4 linked regions of the Drosophila melanogaster genome follow. The protein of the gene in region 1 interacts with the protein of each later gene in a pairwise test. Each region holds a gene or a part of one and is shown on either strand. Other genes may lie near its edges. The genes, in order: CG9040, CG8507, tx and Tsp86D.

The links.
Region 2: the proteins of CG9040 (region 1) and CG8507 interact in a two-hybrid assay, tested with the Drosophila melanogaster proteins (one large-scale study listed by BioGRID).
Region 3: the proteins of CG9040 (region 1) and tx interact in a two-hybrid assay, tested with the Drosophila melanogaster proteins (one large-scale study listed by BioGRID).
Region 4: the proteins of CG9040 (region 1) and Tsp86D interact in a two-hybrid assay, tested with the Drosophila melanogaster proteins (one large-scale study listed by BioGRID).

What each region holds. Positions count from the first base shown.
Region 1 is NT_037436.4:13,983,634-13,990,338, reverse strand, and holds CG9040 (uncharacterized protein), read right to left. Parts: upstream 2,462-6,705; 5' UTR 2,398-2,461; coding exon 1,912-2,397; 3' UTR 1,713-1,911; downstream 1-1,712. Other genes in the region: CG17362 (uncharacterized protein), read right to left, coding at 3,223-3,684; CG17364 (uncharacterized protein), read left to right, coding at 4,831-5,218, 6,516-6,662.
Region 2 is NT_033777.3:9,787,986-9,795,686, reverse strand, and holds CG8507 (uncharacterized protein), read right to left. Parts: upstream 4,205-7,701; 5' UTR 4,118-4,204; coding exon 3,896-4,117; intron 3,842-3,895; coding exon 3,626-3,841; intron 3,564-3,625; coding exon 3,353-3,563; intron 3,292-3,352; coding exon 2,930-3,291; intron 2,875-2,929; coding exon 2,746-2,874; 3' UTR 2,589-2,745; downstream 1-2,588. Other genes in the region: CG8516 (uncharacterized protein), read right to left, coding at 1-111, 168-742, 878-1,018, 1,073-1,501, 1,567-1,697, 1,766-1,906, 2,093-2,235; CG12945 (uncharacterized protein), read left to right, coding at 4,597-4,848, 4,916-5,161, 5,227-5,367, 5,422-5,549, 5,603-5,733, 5,806-6,257.
Region 3 is NT_033777.3:26,436,854-26,445,530, reverse strand, and holds the start of tx (taxi), read right to left. Parts: upstream 4,754-8,677; 5' UTR 3,795-4,753; intron 1-3,794. UniProt on the Drosophila melanogaster protein: Probably plays an important role in the differentiation of epidermal cells into the tendon cells that form the attachment sites for all muscles.
Region 4 is NT_033777.3:10,863,263-10,871,055, forward strand, and holds Tsp86D (tetraspanin 86D), read left to right. Parts: upstream 1-5,445; 5' UTR 5,446-5,770; coding exon 5,771-6,323; intron 6,324-6,380; coding exon 6,381-6,703; coding exon of another isoform or gene 6,704-6,778; 3' UTR 6,779-7,293; downstream 7,294-7,793. Other genes in the region: SelR (selenoprotein R), read right to left, coding at 373-596, 3,267-3,431, 3,547-3,714, 4,710-4,779; Fdh (formaldehyde dehydrogenase), read right to left, coding at 7,735-7,793.

The sequences.
Region 1 (6,705 bases):
ATAGAACTATTTAGCTAGTAAAGAACGATAAAAATATGTATGTGAAGGAAATGCTCTAAATATTTATCCATATTTCACAAACATGGACAAGATTGTCTCATAATTGAAAAGATTGTTTGCGAGACCTATGTAAATAAATGGTCGTCATTTTTAAATTTCCAATTCATTTAGCCCCAGTCTGTGCCCCATCTGATTTGCATTGCAAAACATGTAAATGTCAAAAGCAGTATCTAAAATGTGACGATCTGTTCCTCAAAGGTGCCCATCAACGTCAGCAGCCACACCTACAATCTGCATATATCGGGCACTTGCCATCATCATCACATCATTGTGAGTGCTAACCAAAGCAACACCACCGACCGCCATCATCCTGGCCGTTATCATCCTCGGAGGCAAACACATATTCCATTATAATTCCCGCCGCTGTGTCCCACTTCATATCCCACTTCTGGCTATTTTTATGCCATTTCTGCATTGTTCATTGTTTAGCGCACATTATCGCATTTTCCTCTTAAGGCATCAGCCACAGATATTACAGCAGCCTTATCCTCCGCTCCCACCTCCCCTCTGATTCCACGTCAGCCCATCGCCTACAATTGCCAATGGTGTTAGTGTGGTGTAATACCCTGTAAAAGCTTAGCTAGTTTGGCGGATCCTGAAATAGGATACTTATAACATTCAGGATCAAAGCTGTTTTATTATTATAATAAAAAAAGGATTTTAACAAAATAAAATTATATATAAGAATGTATAAATCAAATCAAAGTTATCCACAATTTAATGCAACTTTTAGACATTTGCGTAGATAACACCAAATCTAGTAGATACATAGAATTTTCGATAATTTGCAACCATTTCCTGCTTGATATTGTTATTGACTGGTCATCCCAACCTAAGATTCCCGGCGAATTCACAAATCGGTTCATACCCTGGTGATCTGGTGGTGGGGATGTAGGGTGGAAACTAAAACGATGATTCAGATTGTTGCCACACTTGGCTCACTAAGCGGCCCAGCGGGTGCCACAAGAGGAAACATCGGTGTGTGAGTGTGGTTGTGTCTATGGATGTGTGCTTTGCCGCCACCAGCACACTGGAAGATTGGATCTCTCTCGGGCAAACACAAACACTTGGATGCGGAGTGGCTTTCATCTGGGCCGCAGTGCACTGGATACACGGGATTTCTGTTGGCAGTGCCACTGCCAGAATGTCGGCATTGAAATCGAAAACAATGGTCCCATTGTGGTGGCCGATGGCGCTACTCAGGCTCCTCCCTTTTCGTTATCCTTTCGCCATTAAACAATTGTCGCCTGTGCGCATCAGTAATTAAGTGTCCCTGTGCATTTATGTCTACTTGTATGAGGGCATAATTACTATTTATAGATGCTATTGGCTTACGTCTAAATAGAAACACAATGCGCCAAAGCGCTGGTAAATGTAAATGTGGGCGCCTAAAAATATGCAGCAAAATGCAGCTGACTTTGGTAATACTACGCCACTAGAACGATTTATACTAATCTGGCTGCAGAGACTTGTATATAAACCACAACAGTTTATTAAATGAATGTTTCGTTCAAAAAATTTTTTTCCTTTTAAGGAATACTTGATTTTTAGTTGGCTTTCGATTTTAAGTATTCAGAAACGATTTGTAATGATTAGTTTCTCTCCGAAGAAAGATCATTTAAGCCCTCAAATACAAAATTGTTGTATATTTTGGATTAATAATGTATATTTTTGGTAAATTACAAAACGTCTCCTTATCTTTGTATTTTTATATGGATTTTTTGTACAGAAAACAACATATGAAATATTCCCAGACTAATGTAGATTCTACAAGATGTCTCTTGGTCCTCTTAAAAGTTTGATGTAAAAACTTTCAGTGACTATGGGGAATTTATCCTTTTTTCGAACTGCTTAGCCTGTGCGTTTGCGTTTGTTGGCGGCAGTATTCGCCTTCTTCTTGGCTGCCACAGGTGTCTTCTTCTTTTGGGCAACAGGTGTTTGCTTCTTGGCAGACGCGGCTGCCGCTACTTTGCGTTTGGGAGCAGCGGTGGTGGTGCGCCTGCGCCGTCTAGCTCTGCGTGCAGCAGTTTTCTTGGCTTTTTCTGCCTTGGTTGGAGTTGAACTGGAGGTCGTTTCGGCGGAGGAACCATCTCCAGAAGTTTCTGAAGAACTACCTGTATCGGAAGCTTCGCCGGAGGAACTGTCCTCGGAGGTACTAGCATCATCTTCTGAGCTACTGGATGCACCAACACCACTTTCCGAACTGGACTCTACATCAGAGTCGTCATAGTAGTCATCACCATAGTCGTAATAATCGTAATAGTCATCGTCAGTGTCATCAGCACCCGTTACGAAGGCAACCAATATGGCCAGGCTTAAAACCAACAGCAGCCTCATCTTTTTTTTTTTGTATCTATAGAGTCAACGAACAGATAGGTAACCTTAGGTATAAACGTCTGAGTTTAAAAGTCTTCAACACTGGGTATTTATAGTTTTTTCTCCTCTGAAGAAATTTATAAATATATAAAGCTTTTTTACATTATTTTTCTATGTACATCTGTAGAATGCAAATATTGGTTTTTTAATTCATCGTCTTAATTTTCGGTGGCTTAGAGCACCTGTGTGTGCTGCTTGTATTTGTTTAACATTTTTCGATTGCTATATGTTGAAATTATGAAATTATATTTTGTGTTAGAGCACGAAAAAGTAATATAAACTCTTTTATATTAAAAGAGCCAAGGTCACAAATGTCTTATCTGGATTTTTGAACAATTTGTCTATGGTTTACGCGTTAGGCGACCTGCTAGTAGTTTTATAGAAAAAATAGATATGACATTAAACGTCTTTAAAATTATATAATTTTTCAAGTATATGCGGTGTATGTTTTTGTTTATCAAAAATATATTTATTTACAAATGAGGGAAAAAACACGTGCCGATAAAAACTTATGTAGAATGTTTTCTTGTCTTTTGAACATTGGGTGAAATAGTTAAATATATTTCAAAATTTCTGTGATATTCAAGTTTTGTACAAAATTCATAATAATAAACACCCATACCCAACAACCACATTCTTGGTAAATATCATTATCATTATTATATATTAATTCAAAACCTAACTTATAAACGTCATAGAAAAAAATCTTGGTAATTTTGGGAACAAATTTTTTTGGTATAATTTTTTATTTTTATAATTTGTAGCTACGAATATAATAAACTGGATTTATCCAGAGCGCCTACGTTTGTTGGGTCCAGCATTTGCCCGCTTCTTGGCGGCAACAGGTGTTCGCTTCTTAGCCGCCTTCTTGTTATTACTTTTCTTGGCAGCGGCGGCATTGCGACGTTTAGCTGCTGCCTTATTCTTGTTGTTCCTGTTGTTTTTCCTGGCACCAGCTCTTTTGTTCTTTTTGACAACTGGAGCAGCAGTTGGTGCTTCCGTAACATCGCTAGAGCCCTCGTAGTCGTCATAGGAATCGACGTCCCCAGAGTCGTTTCCACTGTCGACGTCAGTGGAGCTATCACTAGTGTCTCCAGAATCAGCAGTGTTGTCTTCGGAGCTACCGGCAGTATCGTTGTCATCAGCGTAATCGTAAGAGTAATCTCCATCGTCAGACGAATCAGTTGTCTGGGCCACAGCCACGTGGGCTACGAAGACTGCCAATGCCAGAACCAGAAGAAGTTTCATTTTCGTTTTGGGGAGATTTTGTGATCTAAACGAAGAAAGCTCAATCCTCTGGTTTATATACCAACATATCAGTCGAATCTCGTTTTTCATGAATCAAAAGTAAATATGATTAAACAAACACACATTCGTTTACTTTGGGCCAGCTGTGTAGATGTTTTTTTGATTATCAATTTGTTTTAGAAATTTTAGATAATAATATTAGCCCCTGGTGGTTACCTGTAAATACTTTTATAAATCAAGTAGATATATAACGTTTTATGTTGTGGAATAAAATAATATATTGTTTGTCGTCTACAATATAAAACGAACGTTTATAGATCCACTTTATCTACACGCAGTTAAAATTGCGTTCACTTTCAGAAAACGTTTTCAAACGCGTAATCTACGTGATTATTTAATGTGATGGCACGCACTACTCATATTATTTATGGTTATTTTAGTGAAAGCACAAATTTATATGTTTGACCTTTTTCCGTGCAATTTCAGCTCGGGATAACGAGCCGCGGCAGACCGAAAGAGGACCAACCCAGATTCGCAAAGTTCGTGCCATAAATCTGCAGTTTGCATGGAATTAATACCCGACTAGAAGGCGGCGGCAGACGTGCAGCGGTGCTGCACATGCAACACACATTAGTGGGTCACTCGAAGATGATGACGCTGCTGACCGCAACGGCAACGGTAGAAGTAAAACCAACAAAAACAAGCGCCACTCGAGCCGATTTGTGGCAGCGGGGGCAAATTATATAAAATTATCATGCAGGGCAGGCAGCTAGCTAGTTGGCCACTTGACAACGGCAGGCGGGACAAGGCTAAACATCATCATCAGGAGCAGCAGCAGCAGCAGCAGCAGAAGCACCACTACCATCACCACCAGCACCAAAAGCAACAACAGCGGCCGGCGACGTATACGTAATGTGCAGCATGACGTATACGTAATGTGCACCGGGGTTTGGCCAATTTGTCCAAAGCGAGCTATAAACCACTGAGGCAGCGGAAACGCAAACCAAAAACCGAAACTCGAGCTGCAAACTATAACATAAACTGAAACTGCTAACGACGCAAACGGAAACTTCTTGGCCAAATGGCGAAAGTTCGCAAACAATTGCGAATGTGTTGAGAAGCGGCTGGCGGTGCGAAAATGACAAAATGGCGAAGTTAACGTTGCCTTGTCTACTGCGGCGACTGCAGCTGATGGCGCAACAACATCAAAAACAGCAGCAGCTGCATCCACACGGCTGCCACTTGATGGCCATGCAACTGGGCCAGGCCGTGCTCCTCTACGGTTGCCTTCTCCTGCTCCACGCCTCCGTGTCCGCCTCTGTCCTGGCCACGTCCTCCGACTCGGCCGCCATTCCGATCCTGCTGAACATCTCCAGCACGATGGATCTGGATGGCGTACCGCAGCAGCAACAGCATGAGCATACCGAGAAACGCACGCGGAAGCGTGATGCCGCCAATGTGCCTGATGATGACGACTATGGCAGTTATCCGGACGACGTCGACGAATTGGAGGCCTTGCTTAATAATAAGTCAGGTGGGTTCGGGTTCAAAAATCACTACATTTTATTTTAAAATCTATTTTAAAGCTATTGATAAATATGTTTAAAGAAATCCCAAATTCTATAACTATAAAATAACTTGCATGTATTTTCGTTGTACATATAATTCCAATTCTGCAGCTTTTATTTTTGTTTAAATGTATATACACACCAGTTACTTAATTAAGTCCTTAAATACAAGTACTTGCTGTGAAAACTTATCTGTGCGCCGCTTTGTTTAATCCCATTTCGTAAATGAATATTTGTGGCTGCTGCACTTGCGAACCGAAATAAATGGAATTTTTGTTGATAATGCACTTGGCCGTCGCTGCGTTTCGTTAGTTTGCATTGACCTTTGCTCGGTTCCGGAGTCCCAAGTCCAAAAACCGCCGAGATCATGAGAGCCATAAATTGCACAACATCCAGTCGCCATTCGGGTCCTTTCATGGTTGTTTGTTTAACTTTTATTTTTGGCACATCCTGACCACCTGGCACCGCATCTGCCGCAGCAGCTGCAACTGCATGATTCACGGTCCCATCCATTTTATCTTGGCCATGATGCGGGAATTACCAAATACGAAAACACACGCTGGTAGCCCATTATAAGTTTTTCCAAAAAAAATAGTAGGAAAACAGCATGGATGTGCAAACAGATAGAATTGTGATTTTAATGCAATTGATATTCGGTGTGCAATTAAATATTCAATTTTGATCCAATTTGCATGCCAACGGCAAGCTGATAGTAACATTTCATATATGCATATTTGCACCTAATATGAACATTCAATTTATTTCTGACAAATTTGGTAATTTGCGTTGTTAATGTGCCAGCCTATAATATTTGATTCTAAGAGAATTGCATTTGATATTTGTATGAAGACAATTAAATTTTATGATTTACGGTTGAGTAAACACTCTGAATTCTGATAAACGTACGAAATATTTTACCACATTTGATAATCTGTTAGTAAATTACTCGGCACATTTCTGAAAAAAGTGCATTGTAAATTCAATTTATAACTTGTACTTGTTACAATTGTAAAATATTATAGTTTCACACTTTATTAGCAAACATGTGCACACATTTTTTTCCAACACCAATTGATTTTAAATACCAATTAAGAGGAATATTCAAATAAGGCTGCTCTACATATATAACACATTTGCAAAGCTCAATAAGTCCTTAAACTGTGCAAAAGGCTTTTGGTCGTTTTGATGGCCTGACATTCATTTAATTTGCATTCTTTTAAAGATGGCTTAATTGTTAATGCAAATTGGGTTTGCGCATTGCAGCTAAGGGGAAATATATTGGAGCGCCGTGCAACGAGCTGAAGTGTGACGTCAAGCTGCTGCACGTATCCTGCGACAAGGATTCGCAGACCTGCAGCTGCGAACGCAACTACCCAGTGCAACTTGGACTGATAAAGGGTTGCGCCAAACGTAAGATATTGCTATTGCTGCTCAGCATATAGATTAGATATAT
Region 2 (7,701 bases), on another chromosome or scaffold:
ACTGTCCAGCGGACTGACCCCCAATCCATCTTGCTGCTGTTTCCTTGCCAGAATAGGTGAGCTGTTTTGGGAGGACGGCGAGTTTCTCGAGAATTTGTGCTTTTTCATCACCTACGGTTATTAATGGTGAGTCAGAGGTACTATGTGGTACTGGCAGACATTCTTACCTTAGCGTACATGCCCTCAATGTTTTTGTTGCCCTCGCCTTCCTTGGAGGGACTTAGACTTTTGCTATGCTTGCGCTGTGGCGACGCCTCTCCAGATTCCGCCTCGTGTCCTTCCGCGCCCGCTTCGATCACTGATATGACCGAATTCCGCCCAGACGCTAGGTTGCTAATACTACCGGCCTGCAGATGGTGCGCCTGGCCCACAATTGCCTTGGGCGTCGGTGGTAGTGGTGAATTCGCCTGACGTTTCTCAGGTTTGGGTGAACCCAAATTGCAGACAGACGAGCTATTGTTCGATGAGGATGACGCCTGACGCGAGTGCATTTGGGCTCGCAAACTGTCCACAGGCGGTGGAACAGGCATAGCATGATCAGCACCACTGCTGCTGGTGGGTCGGACGGCGGATGTACTGGCGGTCGGAAGACTGCTGCTGTTATTGATCTCGACAGCCACCACTATGGGATTGGCCTGCATAGGCTGGATTTGCGCGTACGTCTCCGATCCGCTAGTGTATATATCCGCGGCGTTGGCATGATGACGGTTATTGGGATCCTCAATGGCCGCATACGTTTCATCTTAAATAAAAGAATTAAATTACTAACTAAATGTATTACTAAATATATGTATTAAATTTTGTATATTATTAAACTCAAGATACGTATAACATTGAAATTGCCCTGGAGAGAAGTGGTGTTTCTCTTGTGACTCACCAGAATCATCGGACACAGTGGCGTAGTGAGAGTCATTAACATCACGCGATAATGTAGGGTTCCTGTTCGAGGGCTTCCCAGGTGGCTGTTGGGCCAAAATGTTGGCCAGCGGCTCCCTCACACTAATGCTTGTGTATCCCTCTGTGGAATAAAACATTTAGCGATTTGACATTATCTCCATTTTTACAGACTTACTCGACGAGTCTTGTGAGTCCCCGCTAAAATGTGGATTGGCGATGGGCGGCGTCATGTAGGGAAGATCTTGGCTAGCCGAAATCATGCCTGCAATCGCAGAGGCAGCTGGAATCTCAGCCTGCGCCGGCGCTGAATCATTGTGCTCTCTGGAGCCTTCGCTGTGCTGTGAACTGCGGTGCATTGGATCTATACCTTCGCTGGAGGATCCGGCCACCACCGCCGCCGCCGCAGCTGCTGCTGTAGAGCCGTGGTTGGCCGCATGAGACGTGGATGGGGCATTCAGCTGGGCATAGGGATGTTCGGTGCCCCGCACCTTGGCGTAGTCGTGCGGCAGACCCTTGACCCGAGAGTACGGCGAACTTACATCATCCGCCTGGCTAATAGAGCTGTGCTGCGACACGCTGGTCTGTTTCTTCATGCTTGGCTGTGCTGTGGGTGTTATTAAAATCGGTATTAAGTATGAGCTTATTTTATGGGTTTAAAATACAACTTACGACTTTGGCTACGGGCATTGCGACCATCTACCATTTGCTTGTCCGCCACAGTTTCATATAGTTCGGACCCATTATCATTGCTCTCGGCCACGGGAATGTCAGGCAAACTGCGATGGGCTGCAGTGCTCGACCTGGAAATTGGTTAAGGATGCGTTATTTCCAGCTCAGTTATGTAGACAGCAAAGAAATGGGGACTTACCGCTTTTCCGAGTCCGCATTGGACACCGTGGAGGCATTCAGCTCCGCCTGGGACTCGCTGTTGCCCACCAGATTGGTCACCACAATGACCTCATCCGGATTCTTCAGCTTGACCATGCCCTCCAGGCCCATCAAGTCATTTCTGTGGAGTTAGAGGGTATAGAGAGATTGGCGAGCGACATGAGTGCATCCAACTGGAACTGGGCGGCGTAGTGTTGGAGAAAGAGACCCACTTTCACTCTCTCTCTGGCCTGCACCGCCCTGTTCCCGCTAGAGCCATCGAAACGATGTGGATCCTCTGATCCTCTGGGTATTGGGGAGGACTTACTTAGGGATCCGCTTCTTGCAGCAGAGACAAGCGCCCAGCATAACGATGAAAGTGAGCGTCAGGCTGACGGTCGCCAGGAGGTACGTGTACGAATTTGGGGCCTCCAGGTGCAGTTCCGACGTCGACGCCTCCACCATGCCCATGTCGGTGTGTGTACATATGCACTATGTACCCATAAAGCGCTGGCACCGACCGCTGCACATATATATATTAACTTTTTAAACTTTTCGCTTAGCTAATATTTTCTTGTTTTTTGGCCCACCAAACGAAACGACAACAACAATAATGCGACTGGCATGCGGTCATACTAGGTGCGGTCCTACTGGGTGGAGGGAAATACGCGTTTTGTGCCTGCTATCATATGGTCACACTAATTTTATCGTTTTTTTTAACGGTTTATTCTTAACCCTATATTGTACTTTGAATATATTACAAATTTATTTTTTCCACATTGAATTTTTTAAAGGTCAAAATAGATTGTATATAGTTCAAAATTAAACTTGAGATTTTATTTATGTTCAAATGATATTTGGTATCAAAATTATATCTATGCTGAATAGCAGCAAGAATGAATATTTTTGTGCGTTACACAAACAGTTGCAATTAAATCTAATTTATTCGCTTGGCACTTTCAGTGTTTCACTTTCAAATTATTAAAGCTCGGTGTGCTTGAAGATGGTTTTTTCAATGTTCTCCTGGAGCTTCTCCACTTTGCGAGTTTGCTTCTTCAGCTGATCCTCCATTTCCTCAAAGCGGCTGCTTTTGTCCTTCACTTTTTCGCCCTATAAATAATTGTTAGTTGGCTTACAAACTTGATTGATATTAAGAAACATATACCTTGTATTTCTCCTTTTGCAAAGCATGCTCGGCATGCAAGTGACGCAGCTTTAATAGGCGACTTTCGAAGTGATGCAATTCGGTTTTAATGGACTCCAGTTCTTTAACCGTAAAATTGCTAGCCTGGGCCACTCGCCATAGACCCTGGACCTTGGGTTCAATGAAGTCCTGACTGTGTGGACCGGAGGACACCAGGCGTTCCAGCCTATCGTAGTGATCCTTGATGCCCGTGTGATGTCCTCGCAGAGTGTTAAGGTCGTTCTCGAAACTCTTCACGTTTTGCGCATGGGTTTTGATGTCGTTCTCATTGACATCATTCGAAATCAGATTGTAGGTGTCCAAGTCTTCCGTGTTAATAGCATCTAACGAGAATAATCAATGAAATTAATTGATGCTTTTCGTGCTGTTTTTAGCCAAACTCACTTTCATGCTTGTCGGTGTCTACGGTGCCAATGTTTTCCAGCAAGCTGTAGTACACATCCACTTTATCCTGGTGATGGTCAAACTCCTGTTTCAAGGATTTCAATTCCTCTGCAGTAAATCCGGAAATCTCGGCCTTCTCCCAAAGTCGGTTGAGTTTCTTGTCCTTGAAAAGACTCTTGTTTCTGTGTCGCTCCTCGGCGTCGTGGAATTTCTTAAAGTTAACTTGGATGTAGAGAAACTCTTGCTCTTAGGAAAGATGATTTAGATACGTACCTTGTAGGGCTTAAGCTTCTCCGTATCCTGAGTGTCGTCAAAATGCTCTAGCAGATCGTAGCTGCTCATGATGCCAATGAGCTTGCGGCGCAGTTCGTCGGCCTTCAGCCCGTCTTTGTCCTTGTGCTGCGAGTTGAGCTGCTTCCAAGCGATCTCCTCCTTATCGTGGATCTTGAGTTCCATGTACAGTGACTTGAGCTTGGGCTCTGTTAAGCGCTGTAACCGAGGTTAGTACGGTTAAATATGAGATATCTTATGGTGTCCACTTACATTCTGCGCCTTGGCCCACACGAGATTCAACTTGGCCATGCGAAATGGCCGCTGGATGCTCTTAAAATCCGGATCATACTTCTCCTGCTTTACTTGCTGAAAATGCGGGTCGTTGGCCTCCTTGCTGTACTTCTTGCTCTGCTTTTTGTCGGCATCCACGCCCTGCAGTGCAATAAGTACGGAAAGTGCGATGGCTGCAACAACGAGAGCTGACCTAACCATTTTCCTCGTGGTTTTTATTTCGGTTTTAAAGCTTGCAATTATTGGTGCAGTGCTGACCTGGCTAAACAGTTATTCACAACACGCAGTGTGGCCATCTAGCGATCGCATAAAGCTTTGGTGCTGACAGTCTAGCTTTTATTTTATTTTAATGCTTTGTTTTTCGCAGTTACGATTTTTGATCTTGGTCAATTTACAACAATTTGTTTGATTTATTTGATAAAGATGTTTAATAAAAATAATTCAATTTGCAGTAGAAGTGAAGAAAAATCATAAAAGCATGTTTGTCTAATAAATATAAAGCTACATTTTCCTGAAGTGATAAGTAGATATTGCAGCACTGACGTGACGCTGTGATGTTGCTAACTGGACTTGGTCACACTGCCAATTTGCATCAGCCGCCTTACCACGAAATTGCGCTGAATTATAATTATTATCGAGTGCTTACTACCTAGGAGTGATTACATTGAGAAACCAGGACAATGAGAACGGAGGCAGCGGTCAGTTGTTTCCTGTTGGTATTGCACAGGGTATGCTGTCAGAGCGGCAACGATGAGTCCTGGCTGAGTCCGGATCCCGCCTGGTCGGACCTGGTTAACGATATCAATCAGCCCGGTGAATTGTGCCAGTGTCCTACGTGTCCAGATGTGTCTCCAGTGGCCATGGAGGATGCCGTGGCACTCACATACTTCAAGAAGTTCGTCAATCTGCTGTTCCAGCGCAAGCGTTTTCAGGTATGATCGCTGTTTAGACCAAAGTTGGCGACATGACGTCATATGTGTGTAACTTTTGTGTAATTAGTACGATGTTATGTCGGCGGTCCATAAGCGATCGCTGCTCTTCTCCCTGATCCCATCGCAACTGGATGAACTGGAGAGGGTGCAGGATGCTCGGGATTTGGACGTTTTGCTGACTAAGATATTGGAGAGTGCCGAGGAGGCTCCTTTGTTTAATGGAAGATCCGGATGCTCATACGTCCGACACGGCTTTTTCTCCTTATTGGTGGATATTTTCAAGGATGTAATTGAACTGACGCAAACGACCGAGGTACCTGTTGCGCCTTTTTATGGAAACTTGACTATTTGCTATTTAATGGGTTTTCTCATTCCTAGGTGAAATTTATCCTATATGCAACATTAGCAATTGCACTTGTCGTCATTGTGCACAAACGTTTCCGTGTCGGACTAATTTCAATTGTACTAGGAGGCGTGTTTCTGTGCGGATATATTCAGACTTATTTAGAATGCAACAGAGTAGGTCTAGCCTGAAAGTGTGTGAAATTGTGCTCATTATATGTTTATAATTAGGAATTAGACATCGATAGGATGATAGAGGTCGTAAATCATCACCATGAGCCTGAATCGTCCTGGTTTGGTCGACTGTTAGGCTACATATACCAAGCCTCACCAAAAACTAAGAAGATAGAAATGATCAAGTAAGACCATAACATATAATTAAATAAGTCGATTGATGATCGTTTCCATTCAGAAAATCCGCAAAAATCAGCATTTCCATTTGCATGCCAGATCAAGTGTTCTTTATGTACATGAATAACATATTTATCAAGCAGTTGGAAATCATGATAGAAAAGGTGTCGGTAACTATGACTAAACTGTCCTGTAAGTATTTAACCAAGAATTCGCACAGTCAATAATTACCACTTACCACTTAATTACCATATTTACCCATAGCCGGATTATCCTTCCCGTATAACCTCCTTGCACCAGTCCTTTTGGTGTTTTTAGTGGGTTACACCATAAAGCTGTGCTTTAAATACATTTTAAGCCCCCGAGCATGGGCGTCACTTTTACACAAGCCAGCGCCACAAGGGACACCAACGATTCACCAGTCCATTAATGCACGGGCGCCCGAAGGCGACTCCATATCGGGCGACAACTTAAAGATGCTGCTAAATGTAATTAACGTGAGAAATGTTCCAAAGGAGTCGCTACAGCGAATTCCAGACGTTTCGGGCGTCCAAGAGCTAGAGGAAAAGCAGGAAGCTCCCACCACACCATCGAAAAAAGAAAATTTAGATGAAAGCGATTCCAGCAGCAAAAGCAAGAGCAAAAGCTGTGTAGCTGAAGATGAAGGATTCACGCTGGTCGACGATCACGAGGATAATAACATTGATAATGTGTAGCGGCCGCAAACAAACAATTTGTAATTTAAGTGTAATGTCCGAGATTTTTACCCAGTTTATTAGAGACCATTTATGGTCGGCAAATAATTCAATTTTTTCATTTTTTGATTTGTCATAGTTAAATTTTTATTTAAATTATTTTGCATGTACTTAATCTCATTTGCGCGATAAGTGTTATTAAGATAAATCTTCAACAATAAGATCTTTTAAGTAGGCCACGAAACTGTTTATATTTTGCTTGTTATTATTATGATGCCGGCCCTTCAAAAAATCGGATATAATTTTTATATGTAACTTGTTGATCATTTATATTTACAACTTGGCGCTCAGGCGATTATTAATAATAATATTATTAGCAGTGGGCGCTCATTTGTGAGTTGCGTATTAATTGAATGTAAGCGATAATTAAATATTCGGTTTTCGAATCTTGTAAAATCTAATTTAATATGTATACAACTAATATATTTATATATCTATGTATATAGATCTATATAGTGTGTGTATATACTTGTAAGAAAAAATTAGAAAAGAATTTCGGTGTAAATATATTTATTCGTTGTATTTTAAATCATGCACCTAAAATGTATTATGTTTTGATTACAATTCATTGTTATTATAATTCGTATGCAACTAAGTAACTTTACGCATTAGTGAAGTGTACTGTATGCAGAGAATGTTATCCAATATACGGCACATACTGAATAGTCAAAACCCAGTTTGCTGTTCACAATTAAACGTACCTAAACCTAGTAAAACACCAAGCAGAACCCAAAGCACAGGCAGGCTAACTAGAATTCTCAACTAAGGCTGGCATATCGTCGTAATCGTCCAGGTCTATGGCAAACCAAGATAATTTATCTAAATTGATTTCACAAATCTTATACGCAAATTGGTCCGCTATCATAATCTTGATTAATAATTTCTCTACTCGAATTCAACAATTTATTTTGTTTTTGTTAAGATCTAGTGGGTAATGTCCCCCCATCTGATTTGTGTTGGCGGCTGTTCTACTTTTATTTGTCCGGCACTGCTGGACGGCGGACCAGCAGCCAAAGTTACCAGTTTGATGAGCAACATCATAATTAATGTAATTACATGCCCCTCTATTTGGCTAATTGGTATAGCAGCGTTTAAAGCATATCATTCACTTAGTCCGATTGGTAAAATTTAAAAAAACTTATCCTCTTAATATCAAACAACAGCAAACTATGCGAAACAATTTGTTCAACTCCTACGCCTACGACTCTACGCACAAGCCAACTAACTATTTAAATAACGAATACCACAATTGGGAACGGTCTGTGTTATGTTATACGTACGTACGATACATCCATCCATACATACATATAGATAGATAGGTAGGTGTTTTAAAAACAGGCAACTTATATCCCATCTACGCTACTGCAAAAAGTGCACCATATGCTCTTCAAATATCCTTCGATGT
Region 3 (8,677 bases), on another chromosome or scaffold:
GCAGCAATAAAAAAAAAAAAAAAAAAAACCAGAGAGAATGCATGCCAAGAGATTCAGCACAGCTCATCTTGAAATCCCAGCAAATCTCCATTCAAATCACCTTTCCCTGCCTCAACTTTCAACACGTGGCTAGGTTCTTCACTTCGTGCCGGCATTTTCTTTTGGCGTTTCGCCCCTGTTTCGAGGTATAATTAATTTTTACCACGCAATCCTAAGAAATGCTTAAAGACCCAGCAGAAAGAAGTTTTTAAGTTGGAAAAGATCCGCATGGATTGCATGCCCTTTCAAAAAGTTTTAAATGCTTTTAGAATATGCTTAGTATCTATCCTCTACTCTACATATCTATATACATATAAATTTCGTTAATACATTATTTTTAAAGCATGGTACGAAACGAATGTCATTCTTTAAAAGACCCGCCCCCAAGTCAGTGGAACCCACTTGAGTTGTAAGGGCATCGTGAAAAGTTTGCGACATGCAACAAACAAGCTGCAATTAAGCGCGCAACACAGAAAAATTTGTGCACCGTCTTCAAAGAGGGGCGGCAAACGTTGTTCACCTGCTCACTCCCCTCGCTCCCCTCCGCCCAATTTTCCCATTTTCCCGCCCTCCGGTCCAAAACGACGTGAAAATTACCTAGTTCCGTGTGCTTAAAGTGGGCCTTTTCGCTGGGTGGGTGGAAAAGCGTGGAAAGTGCAACGACTGTCCGCAATCAACAAATTGCATGCGATTAAAAGTATTCGCGGCTAATAAACGTTTGTTGAACAAACAGCAACAAGCGGCCTCCTGATTTTCGGAGTCGCAACCGGAGGGATACAGGATATGCTGCAAGGAAGTGGAGCAGGAAGTTAGCGGGGCGCAGTTTATAGTGCATAGGGCCTGTTTCGTTCTCTGTTGATTGGAAAATTTGTTGCGCGCTTTTCGTGGACAAAGTGAGCGGTGGGGGGGGGGGAAGGAGGGCGGGGTGGTGCCTCTGCTTAAGTTTTCAATTACACGCCGGCACAATGCAGAAAGCGCCCAATTGAAATGCACAGACAACAAACATAGAACAGTTCCTCTTACACAAAAGCCCAACATTTCATTTTGACACTGAGAAAAATCGGAGGAATGTGAAAGAAATACGTTCAATCAAATACAATAAAGCTGTTATGTTTGATTACTGCTTATAACATTTCAGCTTATCAAACTAAGTTGTGTTTTTGTTATATGATATATTTATAAGATCTCATATTCAAATAAAATGTTGAGCTTTTTGACAACAAAAAATTCTTAAAGTTTTTTTCCTTACAATTATTTGCAGTTGAAGAATTTTGTTTCAGTGCACCCCTTTTCCTGATCCCATTCTCTTTTACCAACAGTTTGGTAGACAAAAGGCGAGCCGTGCGTGCGACGAGGCGTGAAGGGGTCGAGGGGCGGGGCAGGGGCGTGTGGGTGGGTCGGCCCGTTCCACAGATATATAAAATACTTTTTTTTTTTTGGGGAAAATCAGATGGAATGGGAATGGGGACGGGGAAGTTAGCCAGGCCTAGCCGAAGTGCACTTGAAACTACCGGCGAGTGGCTCCTCCTCCCTCTGCAGTCTGCCCTTCACTTTTGGTTCGGTTGCAGTCGCTGCATTTTTAGGTGTAGCCATTAAATTTAGAACTTTTTCTGCACGCTTGTCTGCGCGCCCATGGGTTTTCCGGGGGGAAAATCGGGGCAGGAGGAATTGTTGAATTCAAGGATTTCGGCAGTCGGGTGCGGTTAAATGGAAAATGAAGCGTCTGCTGCTTGGGCACGGAAAAAAAAGCAACTGAACCACATGAGGCATTGCTATAACGAGGGTAGATGACTTAGTTTGAACAATGTTTTCTCTTGACAAGATAAAGTTAGCATGGTAAACGGATCTAAACTTTGATTTATAAATATTAGTAATCCTTCAATTGAAAAAGTAACTAAAGTAGTAAAATCATCATCAAGAACTAAACTTTCAACTTTAATTATTGCTTTTGAATGAAATCCAAAGTTGCTTTGTCTTTCGTAACTTCAAGAGCTGCCCTCTGGACCGATTCGCTATGGAATCTCCGACTGATTCAGATTGTCTCTGTGCCTGCCGTGTTTTTGATTCGTTTTGTTGTTGTTGTCTTTTCCACAGCTCTAAAATTAGTTTTCATTGTATGCAACTTGAATTTTCTTCCTTCACTATTTTCGTTTTCTTATTTTCGTAGCGCTCTATCTATTTTTTATCTGCCTCGATTTGTGATTCTTAATTTGCTTTTTGTGGAAAGCGTCAAAATCTTTCATTCGGCTTCGACTTTGTTGCCGATACTATATACATAGTCACCTATAGTCTATAACCTTTGTTGTTGCTCGCCTAGCTAGTTGCGCGTGTGTGTGTGTGTGTGGTTGCTGTTGTCTCGTGCTGTTGGCTGTTGCCAGTTGCACGTTGCACGTCCCCCTGATGCTAGTCTCGTGTGTGCTACCGTTGGCAGCTATTATTTTTAGCCGGCCTGCGGCAAGTTCTTATTTGTTATTTTACCCATCTCTTTTTTTGCCGTCTTTTGATTTTTTTACGCTTCTTTCCTTTTATTTCGTTTTGTTTTTTCTTCTGTTGATTTGTTGCCATTGCTTTGGCCAAATGATTTTGTTTGATTTTCCATTTACGTTGAGTTTGTTTATTAAAATTGGCACACACTGCGTATGTGTGATGTGGCCGTGTTTACATTCACCGTCTCCCTTCCACCACCGTGTGGATAAATACGAATACGTATGAGTTATATTTTGATAGCTTTCTGTGTGGTTTTGTATTACCCATCGGCTTTTGATTTGCTTGATTTTTTGACAGGTCTCTGGCATTTGCCTACGACTAACTTTTATTTTTCTTGATTTATTCCTGCTATTGTTATTGTTTAAGTCTCTTTGCAAGGAGGGGCGCTGGCTTTTCCCACATACGATCGAGATTTGGGTCAGGGGGACAGCAAACAATGAGGTAGGCAAGTATATATAGGGTAGCAATAGACTCATGTGTCCATAAACTAATTTAATTTTAGATGCACCTTTCCATGGCAGAAAAATCATTAAAATTTGACTCGATTAATGCGTGTATTTTTGGCGAATTTTTTTTTTGTAAATCATAAAATATTTATGACGAATAACATTTTTTAATCATGTATTGAGTCAGCCCATGAGATGCTAGTTTATTTTAGCTTTCGACAAAATGAATAATATATTAATATATTAAATAAATAAATGCCAAATTAAAATCGGCGATTGACTGGCTGCCAGAAACCAATTTTACTCGATTATTTGGGCAAACATAGTGCTTGTTGCCGAATGGTATGGCGAAAATGAAAGTAAATAAATAAATGCCGGCGTTGATTAGCACATCACAGATTTAAAGTGAGTGGCAGGTTAAGCGGGACTCTCATTGATGATGAGAATTCACAGCTTTTGTTTGCACATTAATTAAACTGTTCCCCCTACTTTGGTCGCAAACAAACGCAGCCAAGTTGCTGCTTCCCTTCGGTAACCTTTGAAAATCAGTTGACAACTGGCTGTCGTCGCCGTTTTCCCTGCTGAGCAGCTCGAAAACATTTTCCCCTGCACACATCTGGCTTTTCAACACCTTGGACAAATAAATGTTTCAGAAGTTTCTTAAAAGCCCGCCCTGCCCCATCTGCCAGCCACTAACGTGATTGGACAGAGGAATGCCTTTTGTCTATTTTTATTGGGGCGGCAACAAGAGATCGGGCAGATCTTCTATATCTTTTCTATATCTGAACGCTTATGTCTGATAAATGGCGGCGGTATATTTACCTTTTTGATTTCATAAATCCAACAATGTATGGCTGCGGGATTGGTCTTTCAGGATGATTTGAATTCAGTTGTGCACTCTGATTAAGATTTGTTGATGTTTTTATTTTAATTTTTGGTTCATTAAAGTTGCGCCAAAGTATGCAAATTGAAATTCCGACAACGCGCTGTCTAATTAGTCACCCAACTAATTTTGATATGCGATCTTTGTTTGAATTTTGTTTTGTTTGGACTTTTTTTTATTCTTTTCGGATTTAAAGTTATTAGCTCATGCATAAATTTGGCATGTTAACACAACAAAAAAGGTTTGTTTTCAGTTTTTATTTCCTCAAAAACTTCTGGAACTTGTTTTGGTTTGAATTAATATTGCGGTGGTTGTGGTTGTTGCGGTTGTGATTGCGCCGCTGGTTTAACTATTGATAATAACTTCGGTACGGTTTTCGCGCATTCTTGAGTTGTGTTTATCTTGGGCCTGCTGGAAAAGCCTCGAAGAATGGATTTTCCGTGAAAACGTGCAAGCCGCGTGTGTCAGTGCGGCGGTACTAATGTGTGCGGCGGTGTGCGTGAGGCCGGTTGCTAAAAATATCTATGAGTGCGCGTCGCTCGCGTTCTGTGTATCTGTATCTCGGAATCTGTATCTGTATCCAATATCCCGAGATGGCATACGAAAATACACGGAGAAAATGCTGCGCTGCGTCCGCCTGCTGCGCTTGTCGGCTGTGCACTGAATAGATATATCTCGCGGATCGCTGGGATGGTCTGACTTGGTTTGGCTTGGGATGCGGTGGCAGCTAAATCAGCTGACTACTGCCCCCAGTTGGCTTTGACTCCGTTAGCCAGGTTAGCGGCTCAGGTGGGCGGCGATGGCAGTGGAAGTCGGACTTTTGGCTCACTTGTCCGCTGCGCTGAGCGTGCGGCGCGCTATTGGAACGATCAATGAATGAAATGCCGCATTAAAAGGCAGCACAGTCTCGTTTTCTCAGCGACGACCAATAAACCGAGAAACCCACTGGCGCTCGCCAACGCCAACACAAAACAGCCCAGCGCACAACACAACACAACACAGCACAGCTCAGCACAAAGTCATTGAAGAGAAACCAGTTCTCTCTTTCCCCAAATATCCACATCCACCCGATGTGTGGGTGCTTTTTGCGTTGGCCGGATCGGATGGGATCGTATCGTATCGGATCGTATCGTATCGTACTGTATCGCATAGTACGGTCCCAGTTGGTCTTTGGCGCACTCTCTTGAGTGATTTCCGATTCGGATGGATTTTCGGTTTCGTTTCGAGTGTTTTGAGTGCTACCACGAGTACGCGTAGACGGCCCCCTGAGATTTCGTATGATCTAATATCGCCAGGCAGTTATTTATTTAAATTTATTGCTAATTTTATTTGCTGCTGCAGCAGCGCTTGACATTCATTTGTACAAGTCAGACATTGCTTGAGCTCACTTGAAAATAGTTAAAAATGTTTATTCGCCTTTGATTGAGATGGTATCAGCTACCAAAGCTTGACTTGTGTCGGATCTCCATTTTTAAGGTTGAACTTTGGTTGCCAGACCATAAATGATACTCATTCTTGGTATTTATTTGGATCAACTTGGATTTCGTGGCGAATTATGAGGCACGTCGAAGTAAAGTTCAAGGAAATCTCCTCATTTGTTTGTCATTTAAGTGTTTTAAGAATGGATGGTGGAATTTTGTTGTTTTAACTTTAATTCATGACAAGTATTTAAAGTATTTCCTGTAAGATAATATAAATATATATAATAACAATTCTTCGAAACGTGGTGTTCAGTAATTTTCAGCAATTTAAATTGTAATTAAAATATTTTTGATGGGTATCTGATAGCCGACGCTTTTGACTCCTGTCCATATATTTGGATTTTATAATTTATTCTAATTCGTTTCGATCAGTTTCAGTTCAGATGTATTGGGTGTGTGCACTTCTCAAGTTGTTTTCACATAGCGTCTAATTTCAAAGTGCTAAGCTGATTTCAAAGTCACAATTCAGTTGTTGGAACCCGATTTTTTTTTATTTTTCAACAAAGAATATTGTTTAGAGTCATGTTTGTATAGTTTGTTTTTGCTTGCATTTTGTTGCTTCGCAAATAATTATAATTAACTGAAACAGGCAAATAATTGCAAAATGGATTTGCTCCTGCAGGCAAAACAAGTTGTTTTCTCATTATTGTAGCTATGACGACATACCCGGCTTAAATCTCGAGTTTGCCCCGATATACTCATATACGAGCATTTGTGAATAAATGACTTCGGGCAATAGACCGATCGACTCTGTGACTGACTGGCGATTAATTTATCTTTGTGCTTCTGTCTTCTGTCTGAAGGCGAGTTCGTCATCGTTTGTCGTGTTTTGTTCTTGAGTAAATAAATCATGATGACAACAGTTAAATTTGATTATGATTCTTTTTTTTTTCATGCCCAGAAAGCATACATTTTTCATGGCACAAGGTCGTCACACATTTTAGGAGAGTGGAAAAGTAACGCATGCAACATTAATTTGATTTGCGTGCGAAGGGAGCTGAAAATCAAATTATATATGTACGAATATTTTTGATTAACTGAGCGTATTTAAAAATACATACAAAGTGGCCAAAATGTTGTGTTTCTTTGCTGACAGCTTAATCTGCCGAACGACGACGACTCCCAAAGACAAGAACATGAATAAGCGAGCCATAATTAAAAAAACAAACGTCACTTTTGAATGTTTGTTTTGTGACCAAGTCCAAAAATATATGGGCATGGCCAAAAGGGGCTGAAAACGTGGTAATAAAATATATACATTTTAAAAAATAATCAGTTTTAAATAATTTCTCGCACTTTTACACTAATAATTGCCATAATGCATGCTTGTAAAGACTGAATTTATATAAGTTTAACTAATTGCTACTTAAGTACTAGAATTTTATGGCGTTAATTGTCATTACTTTTAATCTAATTTGAGCGTGAATAATGCCCCTGCTCCACCTGCCATGTCGCTCAATTGCTTATGCAAATGTTCTGAGTTTCAGCTTTGGCTTTGGCTTTTAATTGCCAGCTTCGGAAATCGCATTTGCCTTAATATGGTCAGAAAGCCAGGCGCGATGCCCAGTATAAGTTCGATCAAAGGGGGGCCCCAAACGCTATAAGCCATCAGCTATTAGCCCCTTCCCTCTTGGCCCACTTGGATGGCCGGCGATCCCGCTAAGGAAGTCTGTGAGACGTGTCTGCGACCATTTATGGCCATCGCACGGGAAAGCAGTGAGAAAGCAGAGACTTTTGTATACAAACTCTCTCGACTCGGCTAATTGTGAGCATCGTGGGGCTTCGGGCCAAGCTTCTGAGCTGGCTGTTTTGTGTGTACTGTTGCTACCTTGTCGGCTGTTAACTTTGTCTGCAGCCTCGAAAAAGCGTTGGTGTCGCTGAGTGGGCGGCGACTGGGTCTTGAGTCAACGTTGATTTTGTTTTATATTTTACGTAAATTTATTATTACAAATATCGTTATTGCCGCTTTCAAGCGGAAATACACTCGACTTGGCCAGCCCACGCTCCCTCACGGTCATAACCACCTGCACAGGTTATCTTTTCGTTCTGCCTGTATTTCTTGTTGGCTTTTGGGAAGTGGAAGCTGGCTATTTCGAGTGGAATTGGACGAGCGGAAATGCCAGGCGATTAAGTTGTTGTTCCTCAGCTCGGTTACGTTACCTTTTTCTATTCGTCTCATTTTTAGTGATAATTAATTTTCGTGAGCTCTGTGATACTGCTGATTTGCATAAGTGAGGGTCGCGTGGGTGCGGGGCATATGAATCAGTTGGTAGACTTATGAATGGCATAGTAAAGTTACTTTGTTAACTTTCACGGATTGACAATAGGCAATTATTGCAATGCGATTAACATAAAAATAAATGAAATTAACTCTTTAAGTGCTTTTTATTTGTCAATGCTGCAGGTATTTCGATTTAATTGGTTGAGCAACGTATGAATGGAATTTTATTGCATTACCATTAACTTGTGCATGCTCAAAATGTAATATTTATTTGCTGAAATCTTTAATGATGCGTTTAAGTAATTCTATTACAAATTAAAGTGAACATAAAATGATAATGTGAAAATATATTTGTTTGTTATTTAATTGAGTACATTGTCTTTTGTCTATTGTATGGGAAAAATATAAGAGTTCAGCTGCAGATCTGTGATATGCTAATCCAACGTTGATTTAAATACCCATTGACATAAACATGGATCACTTTCGGTACAATAGTGTAGCCTGTTCATATCAATCAACGCTTATTAGCCATGAAAAGCGTTCGCAACCACGACTAACATCCGAGCATCGAAAACTAATCGTGTATGAAGAATAATGGATATGCTCGGCCATTGACAAAGCTTAACAAATCACACAAGAAGGCGAAAAGTGAAACTGCCAGAAAAGCCACACTGCCACATGAACCCGTCGAAATGGCAGCCCCCAAAAGATCGTGGCTAATCGTGAGCGATGGCTAAAGTAGTGCTGCTGCTTCGAGCAACGTGATTTGGTATTTTCGCCTGGCCACCGTCATTCGAGCATTTAAGTCATTTAACATTATGTATCACTCGTCGCTGCCAATTGTAGTCCCCTTCATCCAAACCCCCTACAAAACAGCCACAAACACGACTGGAGCAACACCAAATGACAAACAACAACATGCAACGAAAGCCCGGCTGTGTCGTCATCGTCTGTCCGATTGGCGGTTTATTGTTGTTTTTATTAATTTCGGTTCAATTAATTACGCTGCAAATTGTCAACAAAATCGAAACCGCAGACAACGCACACAGGAGCATCCACACACACACACACACACACAAGCAGTTCGAAGGTCCCGATGAGCAGCTGAGCTAATAACCAA
Region 4 (7,793 bases), on another chromosome or scaffold:
CAGCTGTTCCGTTCTCACCTGGTCGGCACTAACAACTACGTTCAAATTAATAGTGACAACTGCAAAAACACAACACATGCAAGCACCGTTTTATTGTAAAAAACACACGTTTATTTAGCGCGCTCACTTTAAAATTAGTACTGTGTTGAATGTGTGGGGTTACAGAGTATTCGGTATTTGGGTTTGTATAAATTAACGAACAAATTTCGAACCAAAACATTAGCTATTTACACAAACAGAGGGGCGATTGACTTGACTACGAGCTAAAATTGGCCACATTTGCGGAAAGTTAGAAAGTACACGTAGAAAAATTTCTTAACAGCAACGACACTCTGAGGCTTGCCTCCTCCGTTTGGCGGTTGATCCTCGGCATCACTGCTGGGCAATGGGCGCCGCGGTGGGCGTGGCCACGGGCGGGGACGAGGTGGCGGGATCCGCGTTCACGAACTCAATGGAGGCGGAATTGATGCAGTAGCGCTTGCGGGTCGGCTTCGGACCATCCTCGAAGACGTGACCCATGTGGGCGTTGCAGCGGGCGCAGCGGACCTCAGTGCGTATACGTTCTGGATGTGCGATTAGTAGTAAAATATTGCCCCCTATTTAGTTTGTATTTTGCCATTTCGTGGGATTAATTGGATACGTTTTGATTGTTGTTTTTTTTTTTTGTTGTGTAGCGCATTTTGTTGACATTTTTTACAATATATTCATTTTTTTGATCGTTTTGCAAGGTTAATTCAAAGTTTTTCGGTGTAAACAAATCAAACAGAAATAGAAAATTGATTGTGAAATGGGTGATAAATGTGAAGCAGAGAAAGAATCACAGAAAAGAGCGAAGAAATAACGGCAAATAAATGGGAGTGCAAATCAGAGAGCGAAGGAGGAGATGCAGCAGAGAGAGAGAGAGAGAGAGCGATAATTAACAATGGGTGGCAGGTGAAACAATATGAAATGAAGTCACATAAACCGGTGAAAATAATTGACGAATCAGGAATATAGATGATTTTCCGAACGATTTGGCGTACATGTTATTTTGGTTAATTAAGCATTTCATGTGTCGTTTTTTCGGGTGTTATAATTTCAGCGATGAGTTAAATGTTTTCGTGTTTTTGGTTAGCAAAACAAACCCCCAAAAAACGTTTACAGGCGTTGTACATTTAGTTTTTTTTTTGTTTTTGAAGCGAGTTAAAAAAAGAGAAATAGAAAATATACGAAAATACACATTATTTGGATTGTTTAAAACACTCTATATAGTTTATGGATATAATGTTGGTTAAAGTATTCGGGTTATGTTATTGAAATCAAAAGAAAATTGAGCGTGAGTAAAAAGCAACAAACTAAAACGTAAATCGAAATCATACAAATAACCAAATACAGCACCGGAAAATAATATTTTAAAATAAAAGCACCACATTCACACAGACATACACATAATGGCCCTGGCCCAAAAATAAATCCAATCGACCTTGTATAATGATCGAAATATGGTATGTGGAAAAAGCTCAATGATCTATGTAGATTCAAAACCGAAATATGTATGAAAATTGCACTTAACCGAAAAGAAAAACATATAAACTAACTAAAGGAACCCTCGTCTTATCCCAAAATAAATGATAACCTTGCGCAAAACTTAACTTCTTGCTAAGCACGTAAGTTCCTACAAAATGGGTTAATTTTTATTAACGTACAATATACATATCCTATAGATACGATGAGAATGCAAGGGGAGATACTTTTGAGAAGTAGAGTTCATCTACACAGTGAGTGAGATTGTAAACCGAAAAGAGTGCATAAACCCAGGCCAGGAACTGTAGACTCGCATTTCCGTTCATAAAACTTTCGTAAACTTTATAAAGTTATAATATAGAGATAGAGATTTGAAACCGAAACATACATAGGGTAAAAGTAGGAAAAGTATATAGCAAATGGAATCTGCTGGGCTGAACTACAATACTAAACTCTCACTCCTCGTTCCGCAATACATTTTCAAACATCGTTCTTGTGTATAAGCTATGTTTTTTTTTGTTCGTTAAACAGTTTTGCATAATAAACGCCTATAAAATAGCTAAATATCTTTCTTTGCTGGACCTGCAGCCCTCTATAGACCCGGAGTAGCATCTACCGCTGGTCTATATGGGGCTACTCCTCCGGGTGTAATGGTATTCCTTGTGGTTAGCAGGCAGATCGGTCATTATTTCTTGGACGAGGCCGTCGATGGATCCGCCTTCGATGGCGTCGCACTCTTCACGAAATCGATGGACGCGGAATTGATGCAGAAGCGTCGATGCTTGGGCGGCGGTCCATCATCGAAGACGTGGCCCATATGGGCGGAGCATCGGGAGCAGCGCACCTCGGTGCGCACCATGCCTAGCGTTTTCGAAATGACTACTGTTGGTTTAATCGGTTTACAAGTGATACTCGTGGGTGATATTCGGGTGGAATCGATATGGCATTAGTTGTATTTCATGTGGTTTTTTTTTAGAAAGAAAGAAATGTTGAGAAAGTCAGGCGGGATAGAAGAGTGGGATAAGAGAACACAATACTCGGTTAGGAATCAATTTTAGTCGCTTCTTCTCGCTTTGTTGCACATTCAGGTGCTGCAACGGCAGCAGGAACACTCACTAGTCACAAATCACCGGCACAAGACTAAACACAGTAACACAACAATGGCAAGGCCAACGGCACAACTACAGTGAACTCTGGGCAGTGGAACAGTTTTGGGGTCGGGTTCAAGATCAGATTTTAAACACGAAACAAAGCAACAAACAAGGCAACACAAACAGCACAGACTTTAAATGAATAATATTAGCTAATGGGTTTATAAGGTTTAATTAAGCCATTAACTAATAAGCCTCTTCTTATAAACATCTCACTTTATGATTTTATTTCTTTACAATGACTTATGCACACCATTTTCTTTAGAAATGGAAAACAATCAAGCTGAAGGTCATACCAAAATATGAAATATACATATGTATATGTTTATATGCTTATATAACTCTACAATTAATCGTTATCAAGGCTTCTTTATAAACTTGGTAATCTTATGATTGCTCTTATTCACACATGACAACTAGGCGAATAATTACTCTAGTCTGGGTTATATTGTCTCCTAGGTGGATAAACGCAAATGAAATTCTCAACTCTTGGGTGCGGCAACGGAACAGCAACTCAAATAAAAACATAACTCAAAACGCTTTGCAATAATCAACAGCTAAAAGTGCCGAGCAAGGTCTTGGCCAAAAGTGGGCCGCCTGGCCAATACGCACCTGGTATGCTGGCATCGCGGTGCAGCGTGACCTTGCCCTTGTCTAGGACATCGTTGAAGGCCGGCCATCCGCATCCCGAGTCGTACTTGGTCTCCGAGCTGAACAGATCCTGGTGGCACACGATGCACTGGTACACGCCCTTCTCGTAGTGTTTGTTGTAGCAACCTGTGGACATTGCATTCCATCATTTGGGAATCAGAATTGAATGCACTTTGTTCGAGGGGTGGCGTTCCATCTTGATAATGGCTTATGGCTGCATGTTTTGTTAGGAGAGACTCACCTGTGAAGGGTCGCTCGGTGCCCGCCTCCTGGGTAACCTGATACTGCACCGGGGTCAGGCGCTTGCGCAGCTCCTCCTTGTTCACCGTAACCTTCTCGCTCTTGTTATCCATAGTCGCTGCTGGTCCGGAATACCTTTTGTCCGGATTGTCGCTGTCTTGGCGTGAATCTGGAATGCAATACAATACTTTGGTATTTGATTTGCGGTCGGGTCGGTTTGAGTGTGCTTTTCGGTTCGCCAGCAGTTGGGTAATGGAAACTGAGTAGGGGATTTCGTCAAGCTTCTGTAAGATTTCCCTCATAATCTGCCCACTTATCGGTGGGACTTTCAACGAAACCTTGGGCAATCTCAACTCGCTTATTTGAATGCGGCCATCTGACGATAAGAAGCTTACTACTATCAGCCATGAGTTGCTGAAAATACTTTCTCGAAACTCATAATCATCTTGTTTTCTCATACAAACGATACCATACCATTTATGAAAATGAATTATATGAAGAAAATTTTTGGCATTTTTGGAACCCAATTTGATAAGGAAATATATACATAAATATTCTTATTCCAATATTAAACAAAAGCTATATATAGCGTACAAAATATAGAAAATACTTATCATTTTCTTAAACAATTTGTTAACAATCTTGAAAACTCAAAATCAAAGTTGTGCATCCAGGGAATTAGTAACACCAATTTTGTATACAAACTTGCCTGCTAATTAATGAAGGTGTAAACAGATTTGTTAAGTGCGGCCAACAAATGGAGTGGAGAAACGCATTGGGCCAAAAATAGTTTTATGGCTTTTTATGCTGCTTGCCCGCCGTCAATCAAACGGAGTGGCGCCCAAAGCAAACGAAGGCGAAGGAAAAGCCGAAAAAAAAACCGAAAATCGAATAGCGTAGGTGGAGCAGTCACCTTTTATTTTCGGTTTTTCCGAGTGCAACAATAGAAAAGCCAGCCAAGTGTGTCGCGGGCAATTGAAGACAATGAATTCATTGCGAGCAAAGTCAGAAAATAGCGGCTAAATTGCGTTCATATAGAATGCAAATGTATAAAAAAATCAACTCAAATTGTGTCTAAAATTAGCCGATGGCCAATCGATGAGCATGGGCTGACACGCCCACAGGTATTACAAACTATACCTGCGACTTTTTAGTGCAACTCACCTGCGAAAAAGCGTGGAATGGCGAATATTCGAGTGCGCCGCAGTGCGTGGCGAGCAGAAAGTGCAAACATTATGTGGCTAATTTCAGGTGACAACTGCACTTGGCACTGCCTGGTTATTTAATCAGCACAGCAACAGGGGGAAAATGAGCAGAGCAAGGAGGAAAAGTCAATGTTTTGTCCACTGCGCACTGCCCACGCGTACTAACTAATATTTATGCAATTCGCGTTGCCACTTCCGTCTACCACATTTCCCACATTTTCCGTTCTATTTTCGTGCGCTTTTCTGCTTTTGAACGCTTGGCGAGGAGAAAGCGCAGTGCAGAGAAAGTCGCAACTCAATTAGGGAAAATGCGCTCGCAATTGTGCTTCAATGTCACCAGCGGAGAACCGAAAAGAAAAAACACTTAATTTTCCCACACTTAAATGGTGCGTCCTTGGGTTTTCTCTAAGCTGGAAAACTACTCACCTGCTGAATAGCGCTCTAAATGGTGCTGATTCTATTTTTGGCCTTTTGTTTATGAATGCGCCAAACGCGGGCGAAAACAAGCGTGCGTCGCAATGTTACGCAGCGGTGGAAAATTAAAAACTAATACAAAAAAAGCTGCTTGGGAAAACAGCTGCACGCGATGAAAATCAAACACCTGGCTGGCTCGCGTTGCCAATCGAATGCTGGATGATAGGCAACAAAGGCAGTACGGTCACGCGAACAGCTGACTGGCCGCGCTGCCAACTGCTGCCTAATTGGACAGCACGTCTGGCAACGCCGGGCACTTTGTTATTTTTAGTGGCTCCATAAATTTGCTTATCAGTCATAAAATTTAAGCTAGTGCGTTAATTCATCATATTCGCTGCGGGGAAACACCAGAGTTAGACAGTCCACCACTGACGCACTGCGAAACTATAGCAAAACAGCCGTGCAGGCCGCTGAAGAGACCACACGCAAAGAGGGCGTCAACAAAAAGAAAAAACCGTGGGGGAGGAAACCTGGGCAAAAATACCAGGAAAAGTAATACTCATCGAAATACTCGGCTGAAAACACGACTTGCACATTCGCGTGGCCATGAGCAATCACAGATACCATCAGGGGGGCAACTACATGCACCCGCGGATCTCCACCTATCCGCACCACTTCAGCTACGTTTCCTCTTGCGTCAAGTACATGATCTTCCTGCTAAACTTCCTCTTCTGGCTCTTCGGCGGCCTGCTCCTGGCCATCGGCGTGTACGCCTTCATGGACAAACTGATGGACGGCAATGGCTGGCTGCGCTTGGACACCATCTACGATGTGATCTTCAACATCTCCCTGGTGATGATCATCGCCGGAGTCATCGTCTTCACGGTCAGCTTCGCCGGCTGTTTGGGTGCGCTGCGCGAGAACACCTGGCTGCTAAAGCTGTACTCCATGTGCCTGCTTCTCTTCTTCATACTGGAGATGTCGCTGGCCATCATCTGCTTCGTTTTCCCGCAGTACATGAACTCGTTCCTCGAGTACCAGTTCACGGACAAAATCATCCACTCGTACCGTGACGACTCCGACTTGCAAAACTTCATCGACTTTGCCCAGCAGGAGTTTAACTGCTGCGGCCTGAGCAACGCCGGCTACCAGGATTGGAGTGAGTATTTGATTCATAAGCCACAAACGAATTAATTCCATGTCCGTATGCATACAGGCAAGAACGAGTACTTCAACTGCTCATCGCCGTCGGTGGAGAGATGTGGAGTGCCCTACAGCTGCTGTATTAATGCCACCGATATCAGCTCCGGCCTAGTGAACATCATGTGTGGCTATGGCGTGCAGGTGCGTTCAGTGGCCGCCGCCAGCAAGCGCATCTGGACCAGCGGCTGCATCGAGATCGTGCGAGTATGGGTCGAGAGGAATCTGTATGTGATTGCCGGCGTTGCCCTGGGCATAGCCTTGCTGCAGTTGTTCGTCATCTATTTGGCCAAGACCCTGGAGGGACAGATCGACCTGCAGAAGTCGCGCTGGTCGTGAGTGCAATGCCACCATCCGTATCTCTACGGATATCCGCCATGCGAAGACGACCCGTATTACAATTCGCGGATGTGAGGCGGACTTTTTTGGTCCTGCCCGTGCTCAAATAATTTCAAACCGAATCCCACTCCTAGAATAATCCATAGCTCCCTATATACCATCTCTTGTGTTTTCGATAGATTTAAGTTCTAATGTCCCGCGATAATAGTATTTCAATAGTATTCTCATACTCTCCTAGGCTTAGGAAAAAGTATTTATACTCCTTTGTGTTCGTTTGCTCTGTATGTTTTTTAAACGTCAGCGCATTCTTAGTCACAAGTAAAGTCGAACACATCTAAAGTTTTACTCTTATACGTATGCAATATCAGACTATTTAAAAGACACTTGTGTATAAGCTAGCGAGTTCCATAAGAAATATGCATTTAAAATGAGATTTATATGTAACGACGAAACCAAAACTGCATGCATGTTTGTTAAATTGAAAAACATACTAGATACATAGACTTATTATCATTTTTAAGTATCTGTACGCGTGTTTGTCTGCAAACGTTGTTGTAGTGCGTATTTAAATACAGGCATTCTATACGTGTAATCGTGACTTTTTCATATGGTGAAAACAGCACAAAGTACCTGTCTTATCGCTCCACTTGGTTATTCCAATCTTGTTCTTACGATTGACCTTTAATCTACAACTTTCGGGGCCTTAGGGGATGTCCGGCAGTGAGTTTAGTTTGGGTCATCAGATAACTCTATCAATCTATAACAATGTTGCGAAATTCTTGAAATATACATACGTATTAAGTAACCGCAATCTCGAACAATTCCAAGTTGTTGAACTTCGAGATTTAGTGGGGCAGTGCAGATAAGCAAATCCAAGCAATTATGAGGAGTAAGCGCGAGAGGGACAGTAATCCGACCCCCAATGAAGATACTCTTATGTACATATACACTGGGAGTTTATTATTTTAAGCAATCGCATGCGATTGCCAACTTGTATAAAAAGTGAAAAGCAAAGAATTGTTATCTCATGCTTAGTACTTAATAATGGATCGGATACTCTCGCCCTTGTGCATCAGATCGAATGCCTCGT